Linked DNA regions of Rhinolophus ferrumequinum. The protein of the gene in region 1 purifies or fractionates together with the protein of each later gene. This does not show direct contact. Links are inferred from orthologs where the notes say so. Each region holds a gene or a part of one and is shown in the gene's direction. Other genes may lie near its edges.

What was found.
Region 2: the proteins of RPRD1B (region 1) and RPRD2 purify together in Homo sapiens (affinity purification with mass spectrometry; 4 studies listed by BioGRID and IntAct, counting the BioPlex papers as one, with this or other methods). This does not show direct contact. The link is inferred for Rhinolophus ferrumequinum from reciprocal best matches to the Homo sapiens genes RPRD1B and RPRD2.
Region 3: the proteins of RPRD1B (region 1) and POLR2M purify together in Homo sapiens (affinity purification with mass spectrometry; 3 studies listed by BioGRID and IntAct, counting the BioPlex papers as one, with this or other methods). This does not show direct contact. The link is inferred for Rhinolophus ferrumequinum from reciprocal best matches to the Homo sapiens genes RPRD1B and POLR2M.
Region 4: the proteins of RPRD1B (region 1) and POLR2D purify together in Homo sapiens (affinity purification with mass spectrometry; 3 studies listed by BioGRID and IntAct, counting the BioPlex papers as one, with this or other methods). This does not show direct contact. The link is inferred for Rhinolophus ferrumequinum from reciprocal best matches to the Homo sapiens genes RPRD1B and POLR2D.

Annotation. Positions count from the first base shown.
Region 1 is NC_046306.1:18,066,040-18,073,446, reverse strand, and holds the start of RPRD1B (regulation of nuclear pre-mRNA domain-containing protein 1B), read left to right. Parts: upstream 1-4,363; 5' UTR 4,364-4,745; coding exon 4,746-4,896; intron 4,897-7,407. UniProt on the Homo sapiens protein: Interacts with phosphorylated C-terminal heptapeptide repeat domain (CTD) of the largest RNA polymerase II subunit POLR2A, and participates in dephosphorylation of the CTD by RPAP2. Transcriptional regulator which enhances expression of CCND1.
Region 2 is NC_046305.1:50,691,265-50,699,124, forward strand, and holds the start of RPRD2 (regulation of nuclear pre-mRNA domain-containing protein 2), read left to right. Parts: upstream 1-4,720; 5' UTR 4,721-5,701; coding exon 5,702-5,906; intron 5,907-7,860.
Region 3 is NC_046289.1:51,654,169-51,661,595, reverse strand, and holds the start of POLR2M (protein GRINL1A), read left to right. Parts: upstream 1-4,382; 5' UTR 4,383-4,534; coding exon 4,535-4,647; intron 4,648-6,398; coding exon 6,399-7,046; intron 7,047-7,427.
Region 4 is NW_022680440.1:943,984-951,291, reverse strand, and holds the start of POLR2D (DNA-directed RNA polymerase II subunit RPB4), read left to right. Parts: upstream 1-4,083; 5' UTR 4,084-4,148; coding exon 4,149-4,221; intron 4,222-7,308. UniProt on the Homo sapiens protein: Core component of RNA polymerase II (Pol II), a DNA-dependent RNA polymerase which synthesizes mRNA precursors and many functional non-coding RNAs using the four ribonucleoside triphosphates as substrates.

The DNA of each region.
Region 1 (7,407 bases):
ATCCAAAGACCTGGAAACTAAGCAACACATTTCTAAATAATACATAGATCAAAGAGGACATCTCAAGGGAAATTTACACAAAAACATGGAAATCAATGAAAATAAAAATACAACATAAAATTTGTGGGACACAGCTACAGCCATGCTGAGAGGGAAATTTATAAACATACATATATTAGAAAAGAGGAAAGGTCTCAAATCAATAACCTAAGCTCCCACCTCAAGAACCTAAAAAAGACAAGCAAGATAAAACCAAAGAAAGCAGAAGGAAGGATATAATAAAGAACAGAGCACAGATCAATGAAATTGAGAACAGAAAACAACAGATAAAAATCAATGAAAAAGAACTAGTTCTTTGAAAAGATCAATAAAATTGTCAAACTTCTGGCAAGACTGATTTTGTGTGTGTGTGTGTGTGTGTGTGTGTGTGTGCGTGAGAGAGAGAGAGAGAGAGAGAGAGAAAGGGAAAGAGAAAAATTAGCAATATTAATACTGAAATGAGACAGCACTACAGACCCTGTAGACATCAAAGGATAATACAGGAATACTACAAATAACTTTGACAACTTAGATGAAATGGTGACTTCCTAAAAAACACAAACTACTATAACTCATATAAAATTAAATAGATCATTTGAATAGCCTTATAACTTTTAAGAAAATTGAATTGTCATTTAAGTACTCAAAAGAAAGGAAGGAAGGAAGGAAGGAAGGAAGGAAGGAAGGAAGGAAGGAAGGAAGGAAGAAAAGAAAGGAAAAAGGAAAGGAAAAAGTAAAAAAGGAAAAGAAGAAAGGTAGAAAGGAAGGGAGGGAGGAAGGGAAAGAGAGAGGGAAGGAAGGAAAGAAATCTCCAAGCCCAGATAGTTTCACTGGGATATTCTACCAACCATTTAAAGAAGAATTAACACTAATTTTACACAATCTTTTAGGAAAAGAAGAGGAGGAAATACTTTCCAATCCATTTTATGAAGCTAGCATCACCCTGATATCACCAAAACACAACAAAGACAATACAAAAATTAAAAAAAGACTGCAGACCAATTTCCCTCATGAATATAGAGATGCAAAGACCCTAAAAATATTAGGAAATACGAGGTCTGACAATAAAGTCCGCAAATTCATTCTAGAAAAAGTGCTACATCCCTCATTGCTAAATATCACTATGGTCACCTTTGAAGTACTCTTCTTGGGAAGCTATGTACTGATGCTAGTGCCTAGTTCACCCTTCCAAACAATTTTGGAAATCTTTTTCTGGAATGGCCATCAGAGCTGTCGTATTACCCTTGATGTCCTGCATGTCATCAAAATGTCTTCCTTTCAATATTTCTTTTATCTTCAGGTCAAGAAAGAAGTCATTGGGGACCAGATCAGGTGAGTAGGGAGGGTGTTCCAATAGAGTTATTTGTTTACTGGCTAAAAACTCCCTCACAGACAGTGCCGTGTGAGCTGGTGCATTGTCGTGATGCAAGAGCTCCTTCGGGACTATATTTGCACACACCTTTCTCATGCCAAGATTTTCAGTTAAGATTTTCCTAACTGTTTCTCTATTGATGCATAGCTCCCCAAGGGGAGTACTTTGAAGGTGACCGTAGTGATATTCAGCAACGAGGTATGTAGCACTTTTTCTAGGATGAGGTCGCGAACTTAATTGTCATACCTCGTATAATTCAGTAGCATGTAAATAGAATTATACACCATGACAAAACTCAACCAAAACTCAACAAAGACAATACAAAAATTAAAAAAAAAACTGTAGGGTTTATTCTAGGGATGAAAGCATGGCTCAATATTTGAAAATCAATCAGTGTAATTAATATTAACAAGCTAAAGAAGAAAAATCACATGATGATATCATCCTCACATTCATACCTCTAGATCCTGAAGTATCCTAGGACTCAGTCACTGGACCCCTTTTCTTTCCACACTTATTCTCTTTTATGACTCACACATTTATACCTCCAGTCCAGATCTCTCCCTTGAACTCGAGACTCACAGATCCAATTACCTATGAGACATCTCTGTTTGGATAGGCATTTCCAACCGGACATGTACAAATCTAAACTCCTGCTCTTACTCCCCAAACCAGCTCGTTCCTCAGTTCGGTAAATGGAAGAATCCATTCTTACGGTTGCTTAGGCTACCGCATAAACCCGTCTTTCTTTTACATCTCATATCTAATCGGTCACCTCTTCTTCTAAAATATCCCCAGAATCTGACCCTTTCTCACCACCTCCACCCTGGTCTGAGTTATCCTTTCATCTGGGTTATTACAATAGCTGCCAAACTGGTCTTCCTGCTTCTTACACCCTATTTTCTCCTTAACAGCCACAATGCTCCTCCTTCACTCAAAACCATTTATTAGACTGTCATTTCACTGAGTAATATCCAAAGTCCTTACGATTGCCCACTATGTGATGTGATCCCTGGCGACTTCTCTGAGCTCATTTCTAGCTTTCTGGTTCCTATCACTCTAGCCTTACTGCCCTCCTTGCAGTTCCTCAGACAGGGCCCTTCTAACCCCAGGACATTGTACTTGGTTTTCCCTCTGCCTGGAACCACATCCCACTACAGAGCACATGGCTTGTTCTCTCTGTTCTTTCAGGGCTCTGATCAAGTGTCACCATATCAGTGAGGCTTTCTCTGACCAGCATATATAATAGATTCCTATCTGCCCACACATACATTCCTCACCCCTCTTTACCCTCCTTGATTTGTATTTAAGGCACTCATTTTTCTGACTCATTTTATACTCGCATGTTTATCTATCTTCCCCTGTAGAAGGTAAGCTTCCGAGAACTGGATTCTGACTGTTTGCCTAGAATAGTGCTTCAAAGATGCTCAAAATTATTTGCTGAGTGAATGAATGAACCACTGGTTTGGGAATGAAACATTTGAGATCACACGTCAGATAACCTTGATTTGACTCCTGCTCTGTCATTTCCTATGTCCAAGTGACATTGGACACACTCACCCATGCTTTATGTCTCCTCATTGGTCAAATAGTGATAATCCTCACCTCGTAGCACTGTTGTAATGATTAAATAAAAGAAGGTATGGAATGTGCTTAATACACCGTGACTTGCTATAAAAATGCTCAGTATATGACAGTGTTACCTAATACACAAAGATCGCCTAGCCTTTGACTCAAAGGCCTTAGGTTATAATTACAACTAGATGTGACTGTGTGATTTTAAGCTATTCACCTCTTTTATGTTAATTCACTCAATCAGCTATGAATCAGGTGCTGAGGTAAAAAAGAGAAGATGCAGGTCCTTCCCTCTAATCTTAGCTATGTGCCCTCTCTGAGTTTCTTCATTTGCCAAACAGGAATAATGTAATACCTACCTCATAGATTTGTGGTAAGGATGAAATGCGTTACTATGTGAAAATACAGTGTCCAGTTCACAGCAACTGCTCACTATGCTGGCTCTGATTATGATTCTACTCTGGGGGAGAAACAGAAGCATCTAAACAAAGAACTACAATACAGCGCAGTAAGAGACTCTGGAACCTGTCCACAACTGCTAAGTTCCATGACGATTAGGAAATTTTAAAATTCCATTACGTCTACAATAACCTAACTCCCTACCACCACGCCAATAGCAGAAGGACAAAGTTCCCTGCTGATTTGATAACTGGAATTTTAAACTTTTTAAAAATAGGAAAGGGGTTCAGTCTCAAACAGTGTGTTTTAAAGGTCAATGTTCCCTTTGCCTCCACCCCCCGAAAAGTTAACATTACTTAAACGTGAGACACAGTCAAATGGACCCCCGGAGGGCAGCACGTACTTCTGGGAATAAAGGAAACAATTAAGAGCCAAGAGGAGAAAAGTGTATCCTATGGCGCTGCTGCCACAGTGCAAATGTCAGAACTGGACATTAAAGGGTGGCCCTGGAGCCGAGTGGGAGCCCATCAGGTGAGAAGGGGGCGTCACCTTTGGAGAAGGAACAGCGAGAGCCAAGGCGTGGAGGCGTGAAAAGTGCACGTGGGTGGCTTGGCAGAACCAAAAAGAAGCTTTGGGGGGAGGGAGGCCAGGGAGCAGGGCACGTATGGAGGAAGAGTGCGGCCGGGGGGTTTGCCAGTCGAGGGAGAAAGCCGCCTCTCATACCTACGTCACGATCACTCAGCCTCACTGTCCCCTCAGGATCCCCCTCCACAGGCTGCCAGTTGCCGGGCTCCCTCTTGCTCCCGCCACTCTTCCCTTACCTTGTCTTCCAGCCTCTCCCTCACTCTCCCGCCTCCTCCTCCCCGCCGGTAGTGACGCGCTAAGGAGTGCGCCGCAGAGCGCCACACAGGTTCCCCGGGAGCGGGAGAAAGGGTCCGGGGAGACTCACTGCGCCGGCGTGCGGGCGCGAGCGGTCGAAGCGCCTTCCGGAGGCCGCCGAACTGCGTTTCTTTCCCCATCTGTAGCTTTCAGAGTGCCCCGAGCGAGCTTCAGAGAGGCCGCCGCCACTGCAGGCGCGTTTTCCTGCAGCTCTGACACCTCCCGGTGTCCAGCGACTCCGGCCCTTGCCCTTTAACCCTGCCTTCGCGGTGGGGTGAGAGGTCGGTGGCCATCTTGTGGCGGCGGCGCGGGCGGCTGTTACTGCGGAGACCCATCCCCCCACCCCCTGGCCCGCCTAGCCGTCTGTCAGTCAGTAAAGAGTCCCCCAGGCGGTCAGGTGAGGCCCCGGCCTCGTGCCGTCGCTCTTCCCGCCGCACTGGGCGGCCCAGGCCGCTCCCTGCCGGGCCTCACCGCCGCCACCATGTCCTCCTTCTCGGAGTCGGCGCTGGAGAAGAAGCTCTCGGAGTTGAGCAACTCTCAGCAGAGCGTGCAGACCCTGTCCCTGTGGCTCATCCACCACCGCAAGCACGCGGGACCCATCGTCTCGGTGTGGCACCGCGAGCTCCGCAAAGGTAAACACCCCCCCCCCCACCTCGTGCCCCCCCCCCCCCGGGTTGTCCTCTCTCCCACCCACTGCTGAGGCCCCTCTAGCTTCTTCCTTGAGCCTTGCTTTCCAGGTCCGGGCCTCTGATTGCGCTTCTGAGGTTGGAGACAGTGTTATCCCCATTTCTCGGAGAAGGAAACTGAGGCCCAGGTAGATTGAAGGTGCTTGTCTGAGGTTCCACCGACCGGGGCTCTAGTGCCCAGACTCCCTCTTCACCCAGCCGTTTTCCCCTCGGGCTCCTCCTGACACTTGTGATTATTACTATCTCTGCAGTGTTACGGGCCTCGTGGAGGGGACTGGCCCTAGCCAGTTGTGTGCCAGGCACGTTGCTGGGCATTTGGAGTAAGAGCCAGCAGACCCTGGAGTAAGACTGCCTAGATCGAGCCTTGGCACAGCCACTTCCTAGCTGAGCGAATACTGGGAGAGTTTCTTCATCTCAACGCTTCTGTTTTCTCATCTGTAAAACGAGGATGAGGGTAGCTGCCACTTACATAGAGAGCCCTTATTCTGTGCCAGTCACGATTCCAAGACCTTTGCATACATCCTGGCACTCAGTTCTCAGAACAGCCCTATGAAGTGGGTAGTTACTTCCTGTCCATAGAGAGGTTAAGGGGCCACACTACCTAAGCTTCTCTTCTCATGCAACTTGCATTGCTTGTAGACCCTGCTCAGGATCTGGCATTCCGTTGAGCTCAGCCCATTGTGTGCCAGGCACTGGGTTGGGTGATTGAAAGCATGTTGGCTCCAGAGACGAACTGTCTGGGATTTAAGCCTGACTGACATTTACTGATCCCAGCAGCTTAACCTCTTTGCCCCTCAGTTTTCTTCTCTATAAAATGGAGATGACGTTAACCGATTGACCGAGCCTTTATTATGTGCCACGTGCAGTACTTATATCTTTACATACATTGTCATTTTTTAAATTCTCAGAGCCCTGTGAGGTAGAAACTTGCAGATGAGGAAAATCAGAGGCTCAGACAACTTGTGGTGAGGAGTAAACAGGATAATCCAAATGAAGGTCTGGCATGGTGTCTGGATCAGTGCAGATATTCGAGAAATAACATCGAGATAAGATTATTGATTATTCAATGTGAGGCACGGTCTTTGCCTTCAAGTAGCTTGGAGTCTGGTGGGGAAAGATGGTCACCAGCTATGCGATACTCTGGTGAGTTCCATAGCAGAAAGCTATGGAAATGAAGCTTAGAGCTGTTTTGGACAGCCTATAAGTGGTAGGGTCTTTATAGCGTAGGAAGCACCTTTACATGTGTTCTCTACTATCTATAAGGTGGGAATTCTACCCTGTGTTACAGATGAGGAAACTGAAGTGGCTAAGTGGTATTTTTAAGGCATTGGAATTGGTGAGGTTACGACTACATCAGGCTGGCAGACACCAAAATCCAGGATTCTTTCAGGAGACCCAGTGCTAGCCCTTTAGCAGAGAACCTTCCCCCCACCCCCATCATGTGCTTTACTGAGATAGGAGTCCCGTCAGCCCTCTGGGCAGTTGGGGGATAGAGCCTGGAGCTCCCAGGCTCTATCCCCACTGTGTACACCACTGTGCCATTCAACTATTTCCAAAATCTGAGATGTGAAAAAAAGGAATCGCCTCTGCAGGATTCTATCCGGTAGGATCTCAGAGACAGGGCAGACTCCATCTCAAATGTTACTACTAGTTGATTCCCCTCCTCACCCTGCTTGAGTTGTTGAAAAACACAATTTAGAGGGTGTAGTCATCATGAAGCTCCTTGAACCCTAACTTCATATGATGGAACCTTATGTTGTAAGTGGAGTAGCCTGGCATTCTTACCCCCGTTTTATAGATGAGAAGATAAAGATACAGAGAGATTAAGTGCTTTGTTCAGGGGCATACAGCTGGGACATGATCCCAGAGCTCTCTGACACCAAAACATGTGCTTTCAAGTACGCAGTGCCTCGTTGCACTTAATACGTGAAGGAGGTCATAACCTTCCCCAAACCTGGAGTGCTTTTGTTAGAATTAATCACTGCCTCCCGCCCCACCCCACACCAGTTGAGCATCTATGGTTGGTCCTCTCTATCCCTGAATTCAACCCGGGGGGTGGGGGGGGTTGAAAATGTTCTAGAGAAAAAATTATACTGTTGCCGACATGTACTTAGTTAGGCCTAGGATGGTTGCCTCTGTACTGAACAACATGCACAGACTTTTTTTTCCTTGTTGTTATTCCCTAAACAATACAGTATAACAATTTACATAGTATTTACATTTTATTAGGTATTATAAGTAATCTAGAGATGATTTAAAGTATACGGAAGGATGTGCTTAGGTTATATGCAGATACTATACCATTTTATTAAGGGGGCTTGAGCATCTGTGGATTTTGGTACTTGAGCAGCAGGTTGGGAGAGTGGGGGTGGGGAGGGGTTGTCCTGGAACCAATCCCTCTTGGATACCAAGGGCCTACTGTAGTTCATCCTTCTAGTTATGTCTTTTTCACTAGAT
Region 2 (7,860 bases), on another chromosome or scaffold:
GTAGTATTTCTACTTCTCCTATTCTCTCTAGAAGCCTCTCCAATCACTTCACTTCCCTTGTCAAGATCCCCAATGATCACCTTGTTGCCAAATTCACTGGTTATCTCAGTCCTCATTTTATGCAACCTATATAGCAATACCTGACAATTGATTACTCTCTCCGTCTTGACAAATTTTCATTACTTGGCTTTCAGAACATTATTCTCTGGTTTCTGTTTTCACTGCTCATTCCTTTTCAATCTCCTTTGCAAGTTGCTCTTTATCTCAGTCCTTGGACCTCTTTTCTATCTATACTCACTTACTTCCTGGGCAACCTCATCCATCTCACAGCTTTGAAGGTCATCCATATACAGATAATAAATTGATGTTTCCTACTGATACCTCTCTCATGAACTTCGGACTCACATAGCTGATGCCATTTATGTGTCTGGTTTCCCAGCCTCGAGATGTCCATAATTGAAATCCTGATTCCTACTCATTTCTCACAAGACTGCTCTTCCCTCTTTCCTCCCCTGGTCCATCTGGGAAAATGGCAACTCCATTCTTCTAGTTCATGCAGTCTCAATGGGGCCAATATCACTCCATAGGGGAAAAATAATTGGTTCTTGGGGGATAAAAAGAAAAATCTTAGGCATTACAATGCTTTGTCACCCTCCAAAGCTCAACTCTACCCAACAAAATCTTATTCCTTAATTTCTCTCATTTTTCGGGGTATGACACAAGCAGCAGTGACACTGAACTCACAGATGATACACAAAATGTATGCAAGGCCAGTGCTACAAAACTATAAGAAATAGGTAGCTGTGATTGGAGAACTTTCTCTCCCTCATTTGCCCTACTTTGAAGTCATAACACAGGAAGTGGCCTACACATGACTATTGGCTGTCATTTACTACCTTGTGAATGTTATGATTCTCAGTGCTTTGCATCTGACTTGGGCTTTGAGAAGCAAATAAAAATAGCTTATATTTTATTATTTAATTCTACAAGTTACTCAATTAATCTTTAGCTATATCAAATGCCGAGAAGAAAAAATGTCAACAATAGCTAAATAAATATCTAGCAGCTAGTAATTTTCTCATGCCAAATAAAAGTTAAAAGTTCACTAAAATTTTAATATATTTTCAATTGTTTTACTTTTTCTGGAAAATAAGTTTTTTAAATTAAATGTATTGAGATGACATTAGTTAATAACATTATATGTTTCAAGTGTACAATTCTATAATATAGTATGTTGTACTGTGTGCTCACCACCCAAAGTCTAGTCTCCTTCCATTACCACATATTTGACCCCCTTTACCTTCATCATCCTCCTTCCACCTCCCCTCTGGTAACCACCATACTGTTGTCTGTGTCTGAGTTTTTGTGTGTGGGTTTGTTGCTTTCAATTTTTTATCCCATATGTGAGTAAAATCGTATGGTTCTTGTCCTTTTCCGTCTGACTTTTTTCCCCCTTAGCATGATATTCTCAAGATCCATCCATGTTGTGGCAAATGGCAGTATTTCATCCTTTCTTATGGCTGAGTAGTATTCCCTTAAACATATGTACCACATCTTCCTTATCCAATCATTCATTGTAGAAAACTTAGGTTGTTTCCATGTCTTGGCTATTGTGACTAATATTGCAATGAACATAGGGGTACATATATCTCTATGAATAAATGTTTTCAAAATTTTGGGTTAGATGCCCAGAAGAGGAATTGCTAGGTCATCTGGTAGCGCTATTCTTAATTTTTTGAGGAACCTCCATACTGTTTTCCATAGTGGCTGTACCAGTTTAAATTCCCCTGCGGTGTAGGTGGGTTCTTTTTTCTCCACATCCTCTCCAACACTTGTTATTTCTTGTCTTATTGATAATAGCCATTCTAACAGGTGTGAGATGGTGTCTCCTTGTGGTTTTGATTTGCATTTCCTGAAGAGCTAGTGAAGTTGAGCATCTTTTCACGTATCTGTTGGCCATTTATATGTCTTCTTTGAAGAAGTGTCTGTTTAGGTCCTCTGTGCATTTTTCTTTTAAACAGGACTTTATTGGGGAACAGTGTGTTCCAGGACTTCCAGGACTTTTTCTAAGTCAAGTTGTTGTCCTTTCAATCTTAGTTGTGGAGGGCGCAGCTCAGCTCCAGGTCTAGTTGCCGTTGTTAGTTGCAGGGGGTACAGCCCACCATCCCTTGCGGGAGTCGAAGAATTGAACTGGCAACCTTGTGGTTGAGAGCCCACTGGCCCATGTGGGAATCGAACCGGCAGCCTTCGGCGTTAGCAGAATGGAGCTCCAACTGCCTGAGCCACCGGGCTGGCCCCCGTCTGTGCATTTTTTAATTGGATTGTTTATTTGTTGTTGTTGCTGTTGTGGAAATATAATAGTTTTGAATAATTTTTTAAAAAATGATTACATTGCTGTTATATGTTTATGTAAGTTGTAATTTGCATATGTAAGAAATTACAATTTATGTAAGGAAAGTTTACTCAGCAAATACAGTTATAAAGTTGTTAAATATTAATAGTTTTAACATTTAAAATATTTAACTTAAAGATTTTAGTCATTCTTAACTGCATTGAATATAAAGAGTAAGGTCTGGGTGGCCAGTTAGCTCAGTTGGTTAGAGCACGGTGCTAGTAGCACCAAGGTTGCCGGTTCGATCCCCGCATGGGCCACTCTGAGCTGTGCCCTCCTTTAAAAAAAAAAAAAAAAGAGTAAACTTCATGTTTACTCTTGCAGAAAGCACAGCTATACACATTGTATTATACATATACAGATACACAGCATATCTGTAGCATTAAAATTTCACAGAGGTTGAGGGGATTAGGAAAAAATATCTAAAATGAATCTTTAGGGACAATGATAAGGAAAAAAAGGCTTTGAGAATTGCTCAGGTCAAAAGCCTTGGTGTCAGACTTGTTTCTCCCACACTCCCCTTAAATCCATGAACATGCTTTTAGGCTCTTCCCTCAAAATAGATCCAGGATCTGACACCACTTCTCATTATCTTTTTTGCACTCTGGTACAGATCACCATCATTTCCTTGCCTGGATTATTCCAACAGCCTCCTTAACTGGTGGCTCCGAAGTCTATTTTCAACATAGCAACCAATGTGATCATTTAAAAAGATTGCCATGTAACTTCTCTGCTTAAAAGGACTTCCCATCTCATTTCAAAGCCAACATCCTTACAGTGGCTTTGGAAGGTTCCACACGAACTCTCTCCCTTCACTTCTCAGACCTCATACTGTACCACTTGTCCCCTCTCTTACTCTTCTCCAGCCACACTGGCCTCCTTGTTCTTCCTTTAATATGTCAAGACATTCTGTTTTAAGAGCCTCTGCACTTGCCGTTCCTTCTGCCAGCATGTTCTCCTCCTCCTCTCCGGTATCTGCTTGGTTACCTTGTTCTCGACATTCAGATTGACAAGGAGAAAATTCTGAGAAGTCCTAAATTAAATTATAGCAGGCCAGAGAGTGGAAGGAAGAGACAAAAAGGGGTTAATCAGGTAACCACGGCAGTGCAAAACCAACAAAAGACTGCTTACACTGCCTTAGTGTGTTTTGGAATTATTAAATTAACTTCCAGGTGGCCATTTCCAGATTATCTAAAAAAAAAGAGAATAGCTAGGCTGCTACTGAACCCCAGGGGTCTCTGTTTCTTGTTTATGCATGAGTTTTATGGACTCTCTTGGGCCTATCCCCTTTGTCTATAGCTAATGTAAATTCTTTCAGAATGGCTTATAAATTTCTCCTCCCTACTCCATGTGTAAAAATGCCTGCAAAACTCAGGGACTTGGACATGTTATCCTTCCTACCTAGCTATGTTGCTGGTGGTTTAGACTCCACGCCCCAAAACCTGTCTTCTTTTTTCACCAGCAATGGGCTAATAAACTCTTTCTTTTAAAAAGGCTTTCAGCCATGAAGTTCAAAATTTTTTGTTTAACAAGATAAAGTGTCACTTCCTTCCAAAAGCCCTTCCGATTCATTAAACCACCATTCCCATGCCCATCTAGGATCACCCACACGATACCGCCCATCTCCCTTACTCTGCTTCATACTTCTTAATAGAACTTACTACTCCCTGACATGTATTTGGTTATGGTCTCCTGACACTAAGCCCTAGAGGGAAGGAATTTTTGTCCGTTTTCCTGTTACTCTATCCAACAGGTAGAACAGTGAGTGCTTGGTTCAACACGTTCAACAACTTTTTGTTGAATTAATACTAGATATGAGCTCGAAAAAACAGATTCTCTGCCTCAAGAAAAGTGAGTCTACTGGGGTGACATAAAAGAATTGAAATATAATAATTACATGTGTTCAGTTGGACACGGAAGCCTCCAAATCTGCCCAGAGGATTTACCTAGACAGATGTGATAGAATGATGCTAATCAATATTACTTAAGGCTCTTGTAAATTATAATGTATTGTACAATTCTGAGATTGTGCCGAAGGTGAGACCATATCCTGTCTTTTATCTTTTACTCGTCTCCAAAATTTTACGGGGAAATTTTCGTTTCACTTAATTTACTTCCTCTTCATATAATCCAAATAGTCAAGCGGCTATGAATGGTATGGTCCAAGGGGACTGTGAAATGTTGCTTCGTCTGGGAGTCTGCGTAGTGAATGGCTCGCTGGAGCTGGCGCATGCGCACCTGTCAGAGGCACTGCAAGATGGCTGCCAGCCACTTGGTCGAGCGTCGGTGCCCCGAGGAGTCAGCAGCGGCGGCGGCGGCGGCAGCCGCCAGAAAGTAATAGTGGCCGCTGAGCGGTGGGAGTTTCCCGGCCTTGTTATGTGATCTGGATAGCCCCAAGTGAGAGACCTCGCTGGGAAGCAAAAGGCGGGGCGGCGGTGTAACCCCCTCCCCCAACCTCTCCTTAGTTTGACCAGTCCCCTTACCCTCCCCTCCCCGCTTTTCCTCCCAGTCCGCTACACGCGGAGGTGCTGCGCAGGCGCACAAGTAATTGAAGCGCCTCCTCGGCTCTAGGGGTTTGCGGGCTCCTGCGCGCGCTTCTCCTTCTTCTCCCTTGATTGGTCAGATTGCCCCGCCATGACACCTCCCCCTGCTCTCTAGGTTGAGAAGGAAACGGGGGGCGGGGCCAAGCGGCGCGTGCGCGATACTGTTGCTGTTCCTTTGCTGCTATTGCGTTGCAAAAAAAAAAATCCTGACTAGGTAGCCTTGGGCCTTTTCTGTACTAGAGGATCTAAAGGAGAGAAAAAGATTTCTGCAATCGAAGGGGCACTCGGGTAGTATTAAATTTAAGATATTCACAGCCGCCCTAACAGGAGTGTGGGGATAGGAGTGGGAAAGGGCCTTAGCGTAAAGAGCGCAAGAGTATAAAACCATTAGTTTGGGGCCAGCCGTTTTGAAAGGCTTTGCAAGGACCTGTTTTCTGCGTAATTCTTGCCTGATTACTGACTAGTTTACACACAACCCCTTGAACCATTCTGATAAACCTTCGAAACCCGCAGCCCCTCCTTGCAGCGTGCTGGAGCCGCCAGCGTGCCTAGCAGCTGGCCTGCCGATCCTACCTCCAGAAGAGCCTAGCGCGTGCACCACCCCCACCCCCCGGCCTCCTTCCCCACCTACGGCTTTCACGCACTCGCAGTGATTGTTTTGCCCGCTCCCGCCGCCGCCGCCGCTGGCGCCGCTGCCGCCGCCGCCGCCGCCGCCGCCGCCGCCGCCGCCGCCAGAGGAGCAGCAGCGCTTGTGCAAACCGGGAAGATGGCGGCCGGCGGCGGCGGAGGCAGCAGTAAGGCCTCCTCCTCGTCGGCCTCTTCGGCAGGGGCTCTGGAGTCCTCGTTGGATCGAAAATTCCAGTCGGTAACTAACACCATGGAATCTATTCAAGGCCTGTCGTCTTGGTGTATAGAGAACAAGAAACACCACACTACTATCGTCTACCATTGGATGAAGTGGCTCCGGAGATGTGAGTGTTGGGGGTGCCTAGGGGAAGGGAAGACCGGGGAAATGGAAGGAAATACCGCCCGAATCGCTTGAGGTTTTCCCATGGAGCCACTGCATTTGGCTGGGGTTGTTCACAGTAAAGCTTTGACCCGAGTGTTCCCAGACCCAGACTCCTCCATTCCTAGCCAGGGTTTTCCTGAATTGCGGGAAGCTTAGCATTTCGTGGATATGTAGCCACTGACTTGGTGTGACCTTGGGCCGTTGGCCCCAGATCTATAGCGATTTACACATTATGTCTTTTCAAAGCCTCGTAAGGTACCGTTGACTTTACTGAACCTTCACGGAAATTGTCGCGTCCGTTCGTTTCTTCTATAGGCCGTGAGGTGTTAATGATTTCTGGTTTTCCTGATGCTAGACAAGCTCTGATCTAAGCACCACTAGTAAATCCAACTATTTCGCTGGAATATGTTGGACCACTCTGTTTTCTACTGACCTGAAACTTGGGATGTGTAATAAGAAGGGTTTATCTGGGTGAATGTTAAACAACGTGTGCTCCACATAGAGCTGAGGCGACCACCTGGGAGGTTTCCCTGTTACCTGTGTTTGCTGCAATGAAATACAGGCTTCTTGATAATGACCGGAAACTACTGTATGTAGTCAAGTATTGTCAATAATACCTTAAAATGAAAAAAAAACCCACATCCGACTACTTTTTAATCACTTGAAATACCTTTTTAAGGAATTGAGTTTGGTTTCATAGGTAATAATCAAAACAGGAAATCAAGAAATGAGCTTTTTGAATATATAGTACGCCCCCTCCCCCCAGTTATTACTTTTTTGCCTTCGTGGGGCAGTTTTTCCACTTTGCTGCTTTACTACAGAAAAGAGGTCTAGTAAACTGTCAGGAAACGTGGATGGTGTGCCAAAGATCTCAAATCTTCTAGGAGGAAGTGTGGAGAATTCACTGTTGCTTCCTGCTGAGAAGAGAGGGTTAACTTTCTTCTCAGGGATTTTTGAATTTTAGGTCTTTTGTTGCTTCTGTATTTGAATTTTAGCTCTTTTGCTCCCTGACCATGGCTTGTCATCAGTGATACCCGTCATCCAGTTGTTCTTATTCCACTTCTGCCATGGCCTCTGAAGTGTTTTGATTTGTGTTTACCTTTTAGGGAACAGATGGATAAAACTTGCAAAATCATAGGCCCCAAGCTTTCAACCATTTGTATATGTAAAGTTATTGTTGGGAGAGATGTTTTGTGGCTCTTTGAATAATAAATGCTCAAAGGGTTGTAGAACCAAGACGGATTACCTTTATTTACCAATAGCAGATCAAAGTTACTTTCTTTTCAAGAGGTAAAATTAGAATATATAAAATCAAGTATGATAACAGTCCTCAAAGACCCTTACATATTAAGTACCTGCTATGTACCCAGCCCTTTACTGTCATTTATAATATATCTCCTATCTGAAAATAACCCTCAGAAATAGATTTTTAAATCATTGGTATAGAGATGGGGAAACTAAGGCTCGGGATATTACCTAAATTGCTTAAGATTACACAGTAAAGTGGTGGAGTTAGGATTTGGCTTCACCATATCAGATGATATCAGATGACAGTGGCCACATTTAACTTTGTAAAAGAACGTTCTCAAGATTACTCCTTTAATGCGCTTGGTCCACCAGTGGGAGCAAGCAGTGTTCATGTGAGCCTGAGGACATGTTTTCCTTAAACATAGTCTCCTTCCTGTTTTAAAACATTTTTTACTAAATTATGCGAGCATTTAACATTTTCTACCTTTGGGCTCTGGTGCTTTACCTGTATGGTTACATCATTTGCAAGAATACGTTGGTCCCCATCCCTGCCTTGTGGGATTACAAATGACAATTGCAATATTTTTTTCTAGTCAGCAGTGATGAGATACACTGGAGTCAGAATTTTTCTGTCTCTGCTATTGTTGATATTGTGCCTGAGTTTATTT
Region 3 (7,427 bases), on another chromosome or scaffold:
TTGTTTAAGATTCTGTCTTCTAAACTGAGAGGAGGGGGCCTCAGCTACGTAGTCTCTACCAAAGATCAGTACATGTGATCTTTCGAGGACTTTTTTGTTCTGGTTTGTGAGTTTATTCATAGGAAAAGTCATAAAAAGATGTTATTCAATCACAATAATATTCATTAAATTTGCTAATTAAAAAGTAAAATTAAATGAAATAAAAAAATATCAAACATTTAATAATGTTTTTTTCCTAAATGATCTCCCACACTATCAAAAAGATCATAAAACACTGTGGTGGCCTGATAAAAGAGATTTGTCACCAAACAACACTCAACCATGTGAAAGACTGAAAAGAAAAAAATTCTTTCAATTTGAACCTTATTTGGCTGGGATTTTTCTCACCAGAGTCTTCCTATTTTTTTTCCATGGGCAACTGCCCTCTTGATTAATCCCATTTCCCTCAGTCTTAGTTTTTCCAAGCAGCTGAGCAAACAAAGATGCAGGCGGCCATTTTAACGTGCTTCCTCTCTCCAGCCCTCTGGGATGGGCCGGCTGTTCATCCTGTTCATAAACCAACAGCCTGAATGTGCTTGGAGAAAGCAGCAAGGATCTTCTGTCAGGATTAATTTTAATAGGCCACAGTCTGTCACCTGGGAACCATAGCTCTGGCAAATGGCTTTAAATTACTATTTGCTGATAAAGAGTGAGATATGAGCTGAAAATTTGGTCCCTCATTTTAAACAGTTTGGATAACTAATGCAAGAATTTACTTTCAGTGTAGAGTACATGTTCTTTACAGCCTGAATCCTTGAGTAGCTGAGGAAAACCTTTTGTTGCAGTGGGGTCACAGTGAAATACAAAGAGGGGAAATGTGACATTTTATAGAAGTGTAGAATTTTAGAGCTGGGAGGGAAATGAAGAATTTGTGAATTCCTCAGCACAAAGCTTCCTCCGAAGCTTTCTGTTTCTGATTTCTGTGTAGAGAAATGTTATCCCTCTTACTATCCCTTCCATTTTTTTGTCTTCCTCTTCACCAATTCCTTTCTCTCTCCTTTTTCTTTTTTTCACTTTGTTGATCTCATATCCAGTTCCAACTCCCTGTTACCTTCCTTACTTTCTCTTCCCTAACTTGCCAGGCTCCTGTCAGTTATTTGTGAAGTTCTGCACTGATGGACAGAAAAGGCAGCAGGGTGAAGTAGGGCTAGTCCCCTCTGTGAAGTAGGGATAGTCCCCAGTGCTCTGTTCATCTGAGAAAGCAGTGAGTGAAAGGAGTGACTGGAAGAGGAGGTTTGGTAAATGGTACACAGATGTCAGCCATTATTGTTTAATAAAGTCTTAGGCTACCATTCTTTATTAAGTTTCCAGTAGCTATGGCTGCTATGGTTTGTTTGAAAGTTCAGCATGTTCCATTCCCAAAAGGATGTTTAAAAAACACACCAAAGAAAATAGAATTTTCTTCGAATTTGTTTATGACCCTTGGTTCCCATCTCTTCTCCATGTGGCCAGCAGACCAAAAGGTAGCCTTCCCTCTCCTCAGTCGGCTCTATCACCTTGAAGTCCAGACATCAATCAAGCCTTGATTTTCCTAACACATTAGTGCTATTGGACTCTCTTATTAGTCAGGGTTCTTCAAAGAAAAAGATCCAATAGGATGTGTCTATGTGTGTGTGTGTATAATCATATGAGCCAATTTCTTAAAATACATTTCATTTTAAGGACTTGGTTCATGTGATTATCAATGCAGGATAGACCAGCAGGCAGGAAATCCAGGGGAGAACCACTGTTGCAGTGCAAGTATGAAGGCTGTCTGCTGGCAGAATTCCTTCTGTTCGTGGGAGGTCAGTCTTTGTTGTAGTAAAGGCTTAATTGATAGGAAGAGGTCCACCTACATTATGGCAGGTAATCTACTTTACTGAAAGTCCACTGATTTGAATGCAAATCTCATCCAAAAAATACTTTCACAGAAACACCTAGAATGTTTGGCCAAATATCTGGGCACTGTGACCTAGGCAAGTTGACATGTAAGATTAACCATCACAGACTCCTTTGCTGATAATCATTGTTCCTAATGAACCTGTCTGGTTCTGATATCTGCCTATCCTCTCTTTTAAATTCTCTTTTGGGATGAACCTCCCACTAACCATTATTCTGCTGCCAAGTTCCGCTACTTGGCAGGAATCAGGCTAAATTTTTCATTTACACTTGCCTCACATGTCACAGCTAATATGACCACACACCACTGCCACCCTGGGCATTTCTAATCAGAGAGCCCGGGCATGCTTCTGCCTGGCCCCCTGTGGTACTCCCTTCCTACCCTCCAATGATCCCTACATGGTGGCAAGACCACCTCTGAATGCTGAGAGGCCCAACAAATGTGGAATCGAACACTTCCAGTCTTTACTACATTGATATTGGTGTTTCCCACATCAGTATTCCAAGTGAGGAAAGCAAAATTAGATATTTTTAAGGGCAGCTTAGGCTACAGGCAGGAAGATCTTTTAGGAGCTATTATAGTAGTTCACTCAAGGGCTTGGACAAAGACAATGGAGGCAACAATGGGTGTATGGGGAAGTGCTGAAAGGGTGGCAAGAGGGAGAGTGTACAGAAAAGAAGGTACTTGGGCTGTAGGATTTCGTAATCAGTTAGGTGGAGGGAAAAAGAATAGTCAGGTATGAATATCTAGTTTCTTGTTTGGACAACTATGTGGATGGTCTTGCCATTAAACAGTGAGAATTTTAAAAACAAAGAGTGGGTTAGGGGAGGAAATTTTTAGTTTCGAACAAGTTGAAGCTGAGAAATCTTAGGGATATCCAGGTGGTAAGGTCCTTACCCTGACTCTAGTTCTAGCCCCAGAACAAATACTCCAGATTTGAAACTCCTGGAAAGATTGGTAACATGGAATTCATGGTATGAGTGACTTTTGAGAAAATGGTCAACAGGATCAGATGCAGCAAGGAGAAAGACTAAAATCTGTCCCTTGGGTTTGGCAACCAGGAGAGGGTTCATGGCACTGGTGAGAGTGGTGAAGATCTGCCGGAGAGTAAGTCTTTCAGGAAGCTAATCTCTGAAGAGAGGGGCACTTTTTACATCTTTATTGGGGGGTATAACTGACATGCTATAGACATTGGACATATTTTAAATATACAATGCAATAAGTTGTGACTAGCTAAGTCCAAGGCCTTATTCAAGTATTTATTTAGCTAGGGCTGGAGCAGGCTATTGAAGTCCTTGAAAGCAGGGTTTAAGTTGAGAATTTTTATACATTAGTTAATCTCATCAGAATGGACAAGATTGGGAGGACACAGAAATGGCTTCAGCCATGCTCCCTGAAGTAGCTTCAGATTTTTTTCTAGAGCTTCTCTAGTTAGGAGGGATTGCTTTTGTCTATTATAGCACCTTACATTGAATTTAGAAAATTAAAGTTTCCATATCAAAGAATGGGGAGGCAGTGTTGGAAGTTATGGGGGCATTCATACCTCCCAATTGATATCTACTGTGTCTCTTTCATGCTTCTTCCTTTTTCCTTTGGGACCCAACTCTGGTAGCTGAACTATAAAGAATAGGTTAGAGCTGGGTGCGATGCTTATTACGCTGCCTTCCTCTTCTCAACAGCCTTAAAAAAAACTTTTCAACAATTTTAAACACTTGGAAATAGGCATACAGTGAAAACGGAGACTTACAAATTGGTGTCCTAAAAAGAGCAGGTGGGCATTTGAATTTGAACTCTAGTGTTTTCACTTAACTAGTTTTGTGCGCCGGGAATATTTACTTCAGTTTCTGTGCCTTTGTTTTTCTATAGGCAAAATCTGAAATTGTGAAAGAGAGGTTCTCAAGCCAGACATCAACTATCTTGCAATGCCTGAGGCAGTACTGCCCATGATTAAAGTCCAGCTCCAAATGCCAGAGCCCCATGAAGGAACGCTGATGGTCCCTAAGGGTCCTTTCAACTTTAACTTTTGAAAACATCGCAGCCTTGGGTTAAGGAGGCGCCACATCATAGACCAGGGCCTCCCAAGCCTCGTCCTGCACGTTACCCCAGCCTCTCACCAAAGGCTAACTCGTCACTCAGGTTTCGACCTACATTTCACTTCTTAGAAACACCTTCTTTGGTCCTCACACCAATCTTACTATTAATATTGTTTTATTATTACTTGATTAATGTCTGCCCCCTCCACCAATCGGTAAACTCCGTAATAGCAGGGGCTGTGGCGATTTGTTGAGGTCACGGTGGCACTCAGTAAATACTTTTTAAATCAACAAATGAGGGGATGAACAGAGAAACGACAAACGGCGCGAACGCACGCCCCACCGGGGCGTGACGTCACCCGCCGTAACTTCCGCTCCTCCGGGCGCCCCCTTCTCCTTGTCCGTGTTTATTTCCGGCGTTTCAATAAAGCTCGATTCGGCTCGAAGAAGACCTGTCCTTCCGGGAAAATGGCGGCTCCCGCTCGTGCTCCGCAGTCCCCGCCGGCCGCAGATCCGGTGCTAGCGGCGGGAGCTGCCGAGGAAGCCGAGTGCCCGCCGCCTCGCCAGCCTCAGCCCCCGCAGAATGTCCTCGCAGCGCCGCGGCTTCGAGCCCCAAGCTCCCGAGGGCTTGGGGCAGCGGAGTTTGGCGGAGCTGCGGGAGATGTTGAAGCGCCAGGAGAGACTTTTGCGCAACGAGTAAGCTGGGGTCCCGCCGAGTCACCGCCAGGCTCCTCCGGTTCAGGTTCCCAGGGACGCACCTCCCCCCGCCCCCCACCCCGTTCCCTTCCCCGGAAGGTGACCTTGTCTCAGACAGCTCCGTTCCAGCCCCGCGGGCGAGCGGACGGCCTGCAGCCGCCAAGCCGTGCGCGTTCTGGCCTGGCGCGGCCCGCCTGTGGGGGCGGCTCGCTGCGGAACGGCGCTTCAGGGTATCAGCTCTTCTTTAGCTCCTCGTTGGTGTATTGACTCAGCTACCGAGTCGGTTCCCTGAAGGGCGGGTCTGTACCTCGATCCTTTTGTTCCCCACCCCCGCCCCCATAGCGTGCCCAAAACAGCCTGTCAGTTTCATCCCTAGGGACTATTTTTATAGGAACCGTTGGAAATGGAAAGAGTGGGATTGAGGAGTGGTTTATTAGGCAGAAAAAGTTGAACTTTCATTCGTTGGCAGACAATGCGCTTTAGCAGGGAAACGATATGATGAAAGTGATTTATTTTAGGAAGCCTAATTTAGCAGCTTGGTGCAAGATGCTTTGAAGGAGTAAGAGGCAGAAGACAGTAGGAAGATATTTTCAAAGAGTTTGCCAACAAGGAGTTTGTAAGAAAGTGAACTATAAAAGTAGTTGAGGAGTTGGGGAACTTCATCAGACTTGGAATAATTTGAATAGGTTGTTGACAGGTGGCTGAGGATTGCGGCCTGTATGGAGAACTATTAACCACAGGAAAATTGGGGGAGGGGAATAGATTCCAGGTTGACTTGACTTAGGGCGTGCTGAGTTGAAGGGAGAGTTAATTATATCTAGTTAAAAGCTGGAGAAATGGTCATGAGGCTCGAGAGAGGAGAAAGCTTGGAAAATAGAGGAATCTCAACTGGAGGGGATGTTATCAATTGAAACTGTGGGAATGAAAGTAGTTTCCGAGGAAGAATAGAGGGCCTGACATGTAACCTTCCCTCCCCATTGTATGGCTAAAGACAGGGGAATCAGAAAAGGAACTCTGTCCCTCAGCAAATAGGACACATGATCGTTTGGGGGCTTCCTAGTACAAGCAAATATTTTGACTTTGTGAGAATGGATTTTTAATTTGTAACAGCGAATTAACTTGGTGTCAGGACTCCTTTCTATGCGTAAGTCTTATTGAGTATTCTAAAGAATTCTTGTTTTATGTGTGTTATATCTGTGGACATTTGTCAATGTATTAGGAATTACAAGTGAGAAATCGTAAGCACAAGAAAACACAAGTTCATACATTCTGTTAGCCAGCAGAGCAATGGTAATCACATGTCCTGTGGCCTCAGGAAAACTCCACTCACCCATGTGAAAAAAGGAGAGTGAAAATTGGTAAATAGTGTCTTAGTATTACTACGAAAATACTTTTGACCTTATAGACCCATTCACCTCCTCTCCCCAGGAAGGCCTTAGAGATCATACGTTAAAAACTGGTGACTTCTGGGATGTCTCACATGAGTATTATATGCTTAAAATACTTTTGCTGAAATTCTAATTAGAGGAGACAAATGAGGCACATTCCCTATTCTTCCTTGATCTGCTTGTTTTTTGGGGGCGGGTATTTGGATAATGACTGTCTTATTTCATTCATGTTTCGGGGCAGTTGGAAATCAGATTTTTGACTTACAGATTGATTTTTCTCCCTTTGAAGATAGTGCTTTGTCATTATATCTCAAGTTTAAAAACATGGCTCTAATGTATATGTGTTTTTTTTCCATTTGACAGAAAATTCATTTGCAAATTGCCCGACAAAGGTAAAAAGATCTTAGACTCTGTTGCCAAACTGAAAGCTGCCATTGCAGAACGTGAAGAAGTTATGGAAAAAAGTGAACTGTTTCATCCTGTTAGTTTAGACTGTAAACTAAGGCAAAAAGCAATTGCCATTGTTGAGATGGACACGGATAAATTCCAGAATTCTGACAAGATACTTGATACTTCATCACGAGTTCCTGGCTGTTCCTCTGTAGATAACATCACATCATCTGAAACAACCTCACAACAACAAGGACTTGTATCTTCTACCCAGAAAGGCGATGAAGAGGCCCCAGAGTTGGGGTACACGGTGAACAAGCGCCCAGCCCCCAGCAACAGAGCCCATGCACCTTCCTTATCCGAAGCTAGTGGTCATCTCCCTCAGCATCGAGTGTCAAGTCGAGCAGAAGATAATTCTAGCAGCTCTGACAGCTCGTTTATTGATAGGTTACAAAGGATCACAATTACAGACCGAGGTGAACACCACTCAGAAGAAAACGGGAGTACTGAGAACTTGACAGGCCTTTGTAGTGAGATGCAGAAGAAGCCTCATTACATGGAAGTGCTAGATATGCGAGCCAAATACCCAGTGCCCTCGCCACATAAATTTAAAACCAATGTGTAAGTACCATCAAAAACAGGCCAGTCACAGGAACATACTATTTGTTAAACTCAAAAAATTGGGAGAATGCTTTAAGTTCAGTGGACTTTGTGTGAGAACTACTTGTAGTGGGGAATGAGCATATGTGGAAAACAGTGAGACCAGCCTGACTGGAGTGGAGGATTCATGTTGAAAAATACTTTAATATTTAGCCAAATAATTGAAAAGGTTTTAAATAGCAAGTGGAGTATTAAATTTCAGGACACTTAGTCAGTATTTCATAATAAACACAGAGAATTTACTGTGACTCCTTTTTTCCCAGAATCATTTTCAGGTATGCAGTTCCCCCTTTGATTAGACTGTCAGCTAAGGAAAAAGGAATTGTAGGAGCTGGTAGACTT
Region 4 (7,308 bases), on another chromosome or scaffold:
CGTGCTGTCAGGGTTAGATGATAATTTTGGACATAAACTACCAACTGGTTAAACATAGACTGGTAATAACGGTGGGTGTGTGTGTGAGAGGAATGGTTTCGAAAAATTACAGTTCTAGAGATGAACATTCCATATTATTACCTATTTAATACCATCTGTGTTAAACAGCATGAAATACAGCTGTGTTTTGGGGTATTTTTGGTGGTGGTGGTGGTGGTGGTGGTGGTGGCAGTGCACTGGAACAATTCGCCATGTTAACCACTCCTACTACCTGAAAGGTGAACTAAGCCATAGAGTTCGGTGGTGCTGATTCTTGGGGTGTGGGTGTAAAGCTGCTTCCAGGTGAACCTGGAGTCTGTTACCTTGGCTTGAATATCTGGCTTTTAAATACTATTCACTGAGCTGGTTGAAGGACTTGACTCTAAACCAATACTGTACAAAGAAGCCAGAGTAGCATCTTGAAGAAGGTAATGCAAACCCTGTCCCTTCGAGCCTTTTCTTAATGCTAAATGAAACTGACAAGGATTCTTCCTGCTGCTTACTTGCTCTTTGTAGTAGGTTCTGTATGCTACAGCAAACTGAAAACCCCTTCGATTCCAAAACTTAACCATCAGTGGAGGAAGCAACGGAGAGAGTCCCAGTCAGTCACTCAAGTTCCTGCTGCCACTCAGACCCCAACCCCAGTATGGCCATTCTTATTTGGTCCCCAAACAAATAAGCAACCCAAAGTGCTGACATTGGGACTTTCACAGGCTGGTAGTCTGACAGGCTTTAGCTTGAATCTTGGTCCTGCCATTTAAGAACCAGACAAGTAATACTCTGAGCTGAATTTCCTGCTTTGCGACAGGACTGAATTTCCAAGGTAGCCTGTCAAAAACACTTTGCTGAGGCCCCAGCACATGCAGCAGTGGCAGGATGGCTGTGACTATTTGGAGTAGCATCCAGTGCTGGCGGAAGATGGGAAAACGGCCCATGTGAACCCTTCAGAACCCTACGCTACTCTGGACACAAAAAGGAGGCAGCATAATTGGTGTGCTCAGCCCCCCGACTCGACGGGCTTCCTGAGAGAGGTGGGTGCTGAAGTAAGCGCAGCTTGACCTGAGAAAAGGGTTTCTCAGAGTCAAACCACAGCCACATGGAGTGGATGAGCCCTCTCAGGTCTCACTGCCCTGTCACATTGCCAGGCAGATAGGACTTAGAACCCAAGTCCGGACTCCCAGGACAGCCTCTGGAAGTTGTCCCTGGAAGTGAAGGGCGGTTTGCAGAGTCACACAACCCTCCCCGCCCCCCATATACCTCATTCCTTTGATCTCGAGAGACTATTAATAGCAAAAGGGAGGTTACATGTTTATCCTTTTGGCTTCCTTTGTAGCGCTTACCAGCAGACTTCCAGCAGCAGGTGCCAAAGATTTTTTTAATTTATGAGAGAAGAGCTTAAATTTGGGAGATTCTGTACATTAACCTTGAGTACATGGAGAACTGGGAAACATCTATTTTAGAGGCAAAACACCTGGGTGTAGGCAGAAAACATGAGTGATTCAGTCCACAAGGGATTCTTTGAGAAGCATTCTAAAAGGTTATAAAAGGTGTAAACTATTCACTTGATTGAAAAAAATGATATAGCAACATTAATGAAAACGGTTATAGCAAACATTGTTCTGGGTTTGTGTAAGTTCTATATAATTACTGTGACATTTAAGGAAGTTGAAATATGAATTTACCTTGAAGAGTGAATATTCTGTGTATGTACCTGGCAAGTTCGTTCATGTTACCCCTCTCCCTTCTCTGACTACATGTTAAGGAGCAGTTTCCAGGCCAGTCCCTGCTCCCCAGATCCTCCTGTGGTTCACCTACTCCCAACCAGAAGTGACCTCTTTCTCTCCGTAGTCTTCTACAGCACTTTCTTTGACTTTCTCATACCACCCGCCATTTCTTTTATTATGGAAAATAAGTCAACTGTTCTTGGTGAGCTCCCTGTGGGGACAGATCAATGACTGTCTTTTTAAGCCTAGAGCATTGCACAGAAATGTTTACAATGGTTTCCTGAATGATAATGTTCTGGATAAACAAACCTGAAACATCATGTTTGTATTACTTGTTATTCTCCTCTCTTCTCTTTATCTATAGTCTTCTCTACTGCTGTGTATGCAGAAGACACCAAGTGCTGGGAATCCAGCCAGCTCTTGGGCCAGCACATGGGAAGGTCCAGTAAGTAGTAGGTACTCTGTAAGGGCCTGCTGGATGGATACATGGAAGAAAGAAGCCTACAGAGTTCCAGGCGTATTTCCGACCCCCCCCCCCAGCTGCTGCATGTGCCCAGACACCTCAACAGTACATCTGTCACAGCTCTAATGAACCGTACAGAAAGCACTTTGAAACAGTAACAAGATCTGCTACTACAATATAACTGTCATTCAGGGACTCTGGTCACGCTCCCTGCACAAGAACACAGGATATGGCGAGGCCGAAAAGGAACAACAGAGCCATAGATAGGGGAGTCAGACCACTACATTCTCGATGGCGGCTGGGCTGGAGATATAGAAGCAGGATCCACACAATCTGCCATCTGCCATCCGCTTCTCTGTGAACCAATCCCCCTTGCTAGCCGCAATCCGCCCTTCTCTGCCAACCAACCAACCTGCCCGCGTAGCCACGGAAGTTATACTAGTGGCTAATGGCTAACCTGTAATAGCTGATGGCCAACTAGTCACAGCTGATGGCCATTTACTACCTGAGCCAGTACCTTTCCACGTGAGGCTGAGAGCCTAGAAACTGCTCTCTGGGACTCTGTCCCCACAATAACCTACTGTTATTTTACCTGTGGACCAAAAGGGGGCCGTGTACTGAACCTGACAAGCTCAGGGGAGGCCCGCATATATACATACTCAGAGACCAAAAGTAACCACACAAGATGGCCAGAACATAAAAGTTCCTAAGTAAAAGCAGGTCATGTTGGGTAGGCCCGTCCTAGGCCTATAGGGCCTATAGCTTCCTTGACAAAGGTCAGTCTACCTTTGAAATTGTCTATTGTTTTTGTGCAATCTTATATAACATACCTTTAAAATGTCAGAGTAATTTTCTTTTCCTGTCCCCGCGAAGGCACAACCGCTGGTACCAGAGCACAAGACAACATTATTAAATGGTTGCTCACATACCATCTCTATGTGTTGTAAATGTTAACTATCCTGTGCCCACCAATGTATATAAAGTATGTCCACTCCGTTTTGCTTTTTATCCAATGCCAGAGATTTCTCCGTTTTGCTTTCTCCCACCCCTTATTTGCCATCAATGGATGTCATGTAAACCTTCTTAGGTCTCCTCCTTTGACTCTAATGTATAAAATAAGCTGCAAAACTGCCATTTTCTGGAGCATTTTCTCAATCTGTTGAGATTTTGTTTGCCTGCAATTGTCATCCGTTTGGCTCAAATAAACTCTTATAAGACTTTCTTAGGCTAGGCATTCTTTCGACATACCCAATACATTTCTTCTAGAAATACACATACAAAGCAAATTAATTTTGTAAAAATTATAAAGTAAAGGAATACAAGGTACATATTCTTGTGTGGTTTATTTTTCATTTGAACAGAGCTTACATGATACCTAAACACTGCTCACTACTGAGCGAAGCAATGCACTATAATTATGTCCTTTATTTTACAATCTTTTCTCTGAATTTGAAAACATCATTTTCCATTTGCTTACTTTTCTATGTATAATCCAAGTGCTTCAACAGACATTAAAGGCCTCTCAAAATCACTGTCCACGTGCTCAGAAGTATCAGAATAATCCACTACACGTCAAAATTTAAAATGCGTAAGGCATTGGAAGAAATTCCCCGGTACGTTTTCGAGGTCACCGACCCGGCATCCCTTCAACGGAGAGTTCCTGGGGTCAGCCGGCACATTCCTGTATGTCATCCAGCCCACCCCTCCCCACTGGGAAGCAGGTGTCCTTACCCACATTTCACGGGTGAGAAGCTGAGGCTCAAAACGGTCCCGGGACCCGCTCCAAGACTCGCGGCACAACCCCTCCCCTCGCAGCGTCCTGGCCCCGGCCCGCCACGCCCCCGCCACGCCCCGGACGTGGCTGCACCGGGGTCCCCACGCTTCCGCTTCCGGCGGTGTGGGTGGCGGCGCGTAGCTCGGCGATGGCGGCGGGTGGCAGCGATGCGCTGGCTGGCGACGTCGAGGAGGACGCCTCCCAGCTCATCTTTCCAAAAGGTGAGGCCTGGGGCCGTGCGATTGTCCCGCCGTTCTGCGTGGCCGCCGCGGAACTTGGCGTTGCCCCGAAGCCCGGCGGGTGGCGGCGCGGCGACCAGCAGGGAGGAGGCGCCTGCGGACCTGGAGGGCCCGGGCCGCTGGGCTCGGTGCCGGGAGAAGGGCTCCTGGAGCCTTCGGCGCCACTCGGGGGTGCCCCGGGCGGCTGCGGCTCCTTGTTTCAGTAGTTCGTTTTCTCTGATAGACTGCAAAGTGCCCGAGAGATGCGTCAAAGACAAAGCTGACACTAGTTAAAGCGGTCGGTACGAATTTTAATCAGTAATATGCAGCTGCGACAGGGAGAAGAGTCCAGCTTGGACTGAACTCAACTTCATTTGTGTAGAGGTGACAGCGTTTTACAGGGAGAATGAAAGGATAGGGAGCGGCGGTGAGCGGGGCTTAGAGTCAGGGAAGTGAAAAATTACAGAAAGTGGGAAGGGGGTTGGTCCTTTTGAAACCCATTTGGGTTTGTCAGCTGGAGCTTTGGAAGTTAGATTCCTACCATCCCACTGCCCGCCCTCTGTTGGCTGGAACAAACTAAATTATTTTGGCTGCATTCAGTTTTCACAGGCCGGCGCTTTAAAGGAGTTAAGGTCATTCTAGGGATACAGCCTTGAGCTGTTAGAAATCATATTAATGTTTTAATCAAGCCTTTATGGGCCAAAATTGAGGCCTGGTCGGGAAGAGGGCTCAGAGGAGCCTGGCTAGAAAGCGGTCACGGGGAGAATCTTTGTCAGACCGCAGCAACTAAAGCACATTTTGCTGTCAGGGAGCTTTGTCTGCATTGTGATGTCCCTTATTTGTAATTTAGAAACCCAAAGGAAGGAGAAAACTTCAGATTTTAAACTAATGCATCCTACAGATACTGATTACAAAGTAAATGAGGGAACCTTGACAATATCCTCCTGTTTTAAAAATTATATCCACAATACAATGTGAAATGCAACACCCTTTCACCCATAGGAAACTAAACGGGTTAGTGCTTATCCTTCCAAACGAATTTTTATGCTTATTCATAAATATATGCATATACATATACACTTTTTTCAAAAATGGGATTATGCTATAGAAATCTTACAGCTTTAAAAATTTTTGATGGTATATTGTATAGAAAGGTCCTGTTCTTTTAAAGCTCCAGATACTATTACTTATTAAATATAAATAATAGTATTTATCTATTGATATACATACAGGTTGCTTCCAGTTTTTTATTTCATAGACTCAAGTGCAAATATTTCCATAGGATAGCTTCATGGAAGTTTTTAGCATAATGGAAATACACATTTGTTTCTTTTTTAAGGTATAATAACTAAGAAGGAAATGGTTTTCTTAATTTCATGATAAATTAAACCAGTTTTTTTGTATGTGGGTTTTGTGTAGGTACTTTTTACTTAGTGTTTTTTTTAACCTGGAAAATACTTGTTTAGATAAAATCAGGTAACATCTGGTACTCATGAATATTTTATTGAATTGGGGATAATTAGATCCTATCAGTTAACAATGTGTCAGAGTTCTGAACATCTCTTATCTCTTAACTTCTCAGCTGATACAGCATGTAAAGTTTATGTATTTTAGAATATATGTATATATATAGGAACAACAGTAAGTCCTTAGAGAAAGCCTTTGCTGTAGGATGGAAAGTAAGCAAACGTGTAATTAGTTCAAGGACTAAAAATGGAGACCACCGAAAGCTTCTGAGTACGTTTTTTTTTTAATTTATTGGGGTGACAGTGGTTAGTAAAATTACATGGGTTTCAAGTGTCAATTCTATATTACATCATCTATATATCACATTGTGTGTTCACCACCCAGAGTCAGTTCTCCTTCCATCACCATATATTTGACCCCCTTTGCCCTCATCTATCACCTCTCTTCCCACTTAACCTCGGGTAACCACTAAACTATTGTCTGTGTCTATGAGTTTTTGTTTGTTTGTTTCTCTTGTTCCTTTGTTGCTTTCGGTTTTATATCCCACATATGAGAGACTTTTTCTGTCTGACTTATTTCACTTAGCATGATACGGTAATCTCAGGATCCATCCATGTTGTCACAAACAGCAGTATTTCATCTTTTTTATAGCAGAGTAGTATTCCATTGTGTATATACACGACATCTTCTTTATCTAATCATCTATCGAAGGAACAGGTGACTAGACTCCTGGTGTCCTGAGTTCCATCCCATTATATTTCACAGGTACATTTCTTTAGTGCAGAAGGGGAGACATCTCTAACTTTGATTTTCCAGAAGCCTTAAAAACATCGACAGCTATAATAAACTTGGAGGTAATTATTAGTAGTAACTTGTTTAGCCTCTTAATTTCCATTTTCTAAGGCTGTATTAATGCTGCAGCCTCAGAAGCTGAGACTGACCCACTATTTAGCTGCTGCTGCATTTATCCCCCTTATGTCACTTAACTCTTTTCACTTCAGAGACTTGGGGTCATATGTCCTGATACTTCATTGCTCTAGGGCCGTAGTTTCTTCACCTGTATACCACCTCAGAGGGTTGGGTTGGAATCAACTCTGAGCTTCCTCTCGTTCAAACCATGCTGCCCTGAAGTAGAAAATAGCTTTTGTGTGCCTGTTATATTCAGTAGCAATGAGAACCTTTCAAATAAAAATAGTTTTCTCCTTACATGCTCCTCAACCCCTGCCCCTCCACACACACACCAACAGTTGTGAAGGGAGTGGGACGCCTTTGTGCCCTGGCCCAGGAAATGGAAGGCATTGCTCTCATGTCTGTGATGTCCCCAGTAGGAAACATACGGATATCACATGTAAATGTCAAATAGGATTTTTCTCACTGTTGCTTCCTCTTCATCAGTGTGGGATTATAAACATGAATGCACACTTTTACTCTGGGGGAACTCACTGATAAGGGAACGGCAGATAAAATCCAGCTCTAATACTTGGTGACACATATTAGGAACATATATTCCTATGGGAATGTGAGGGAGATATGATTTTTCCAAAGAGATGATAGCATTTTTAATGATGTTATCCTGAAAATATAGGAAAGGGCTGCCATATATTATTGGAAAGGAACCAAGGG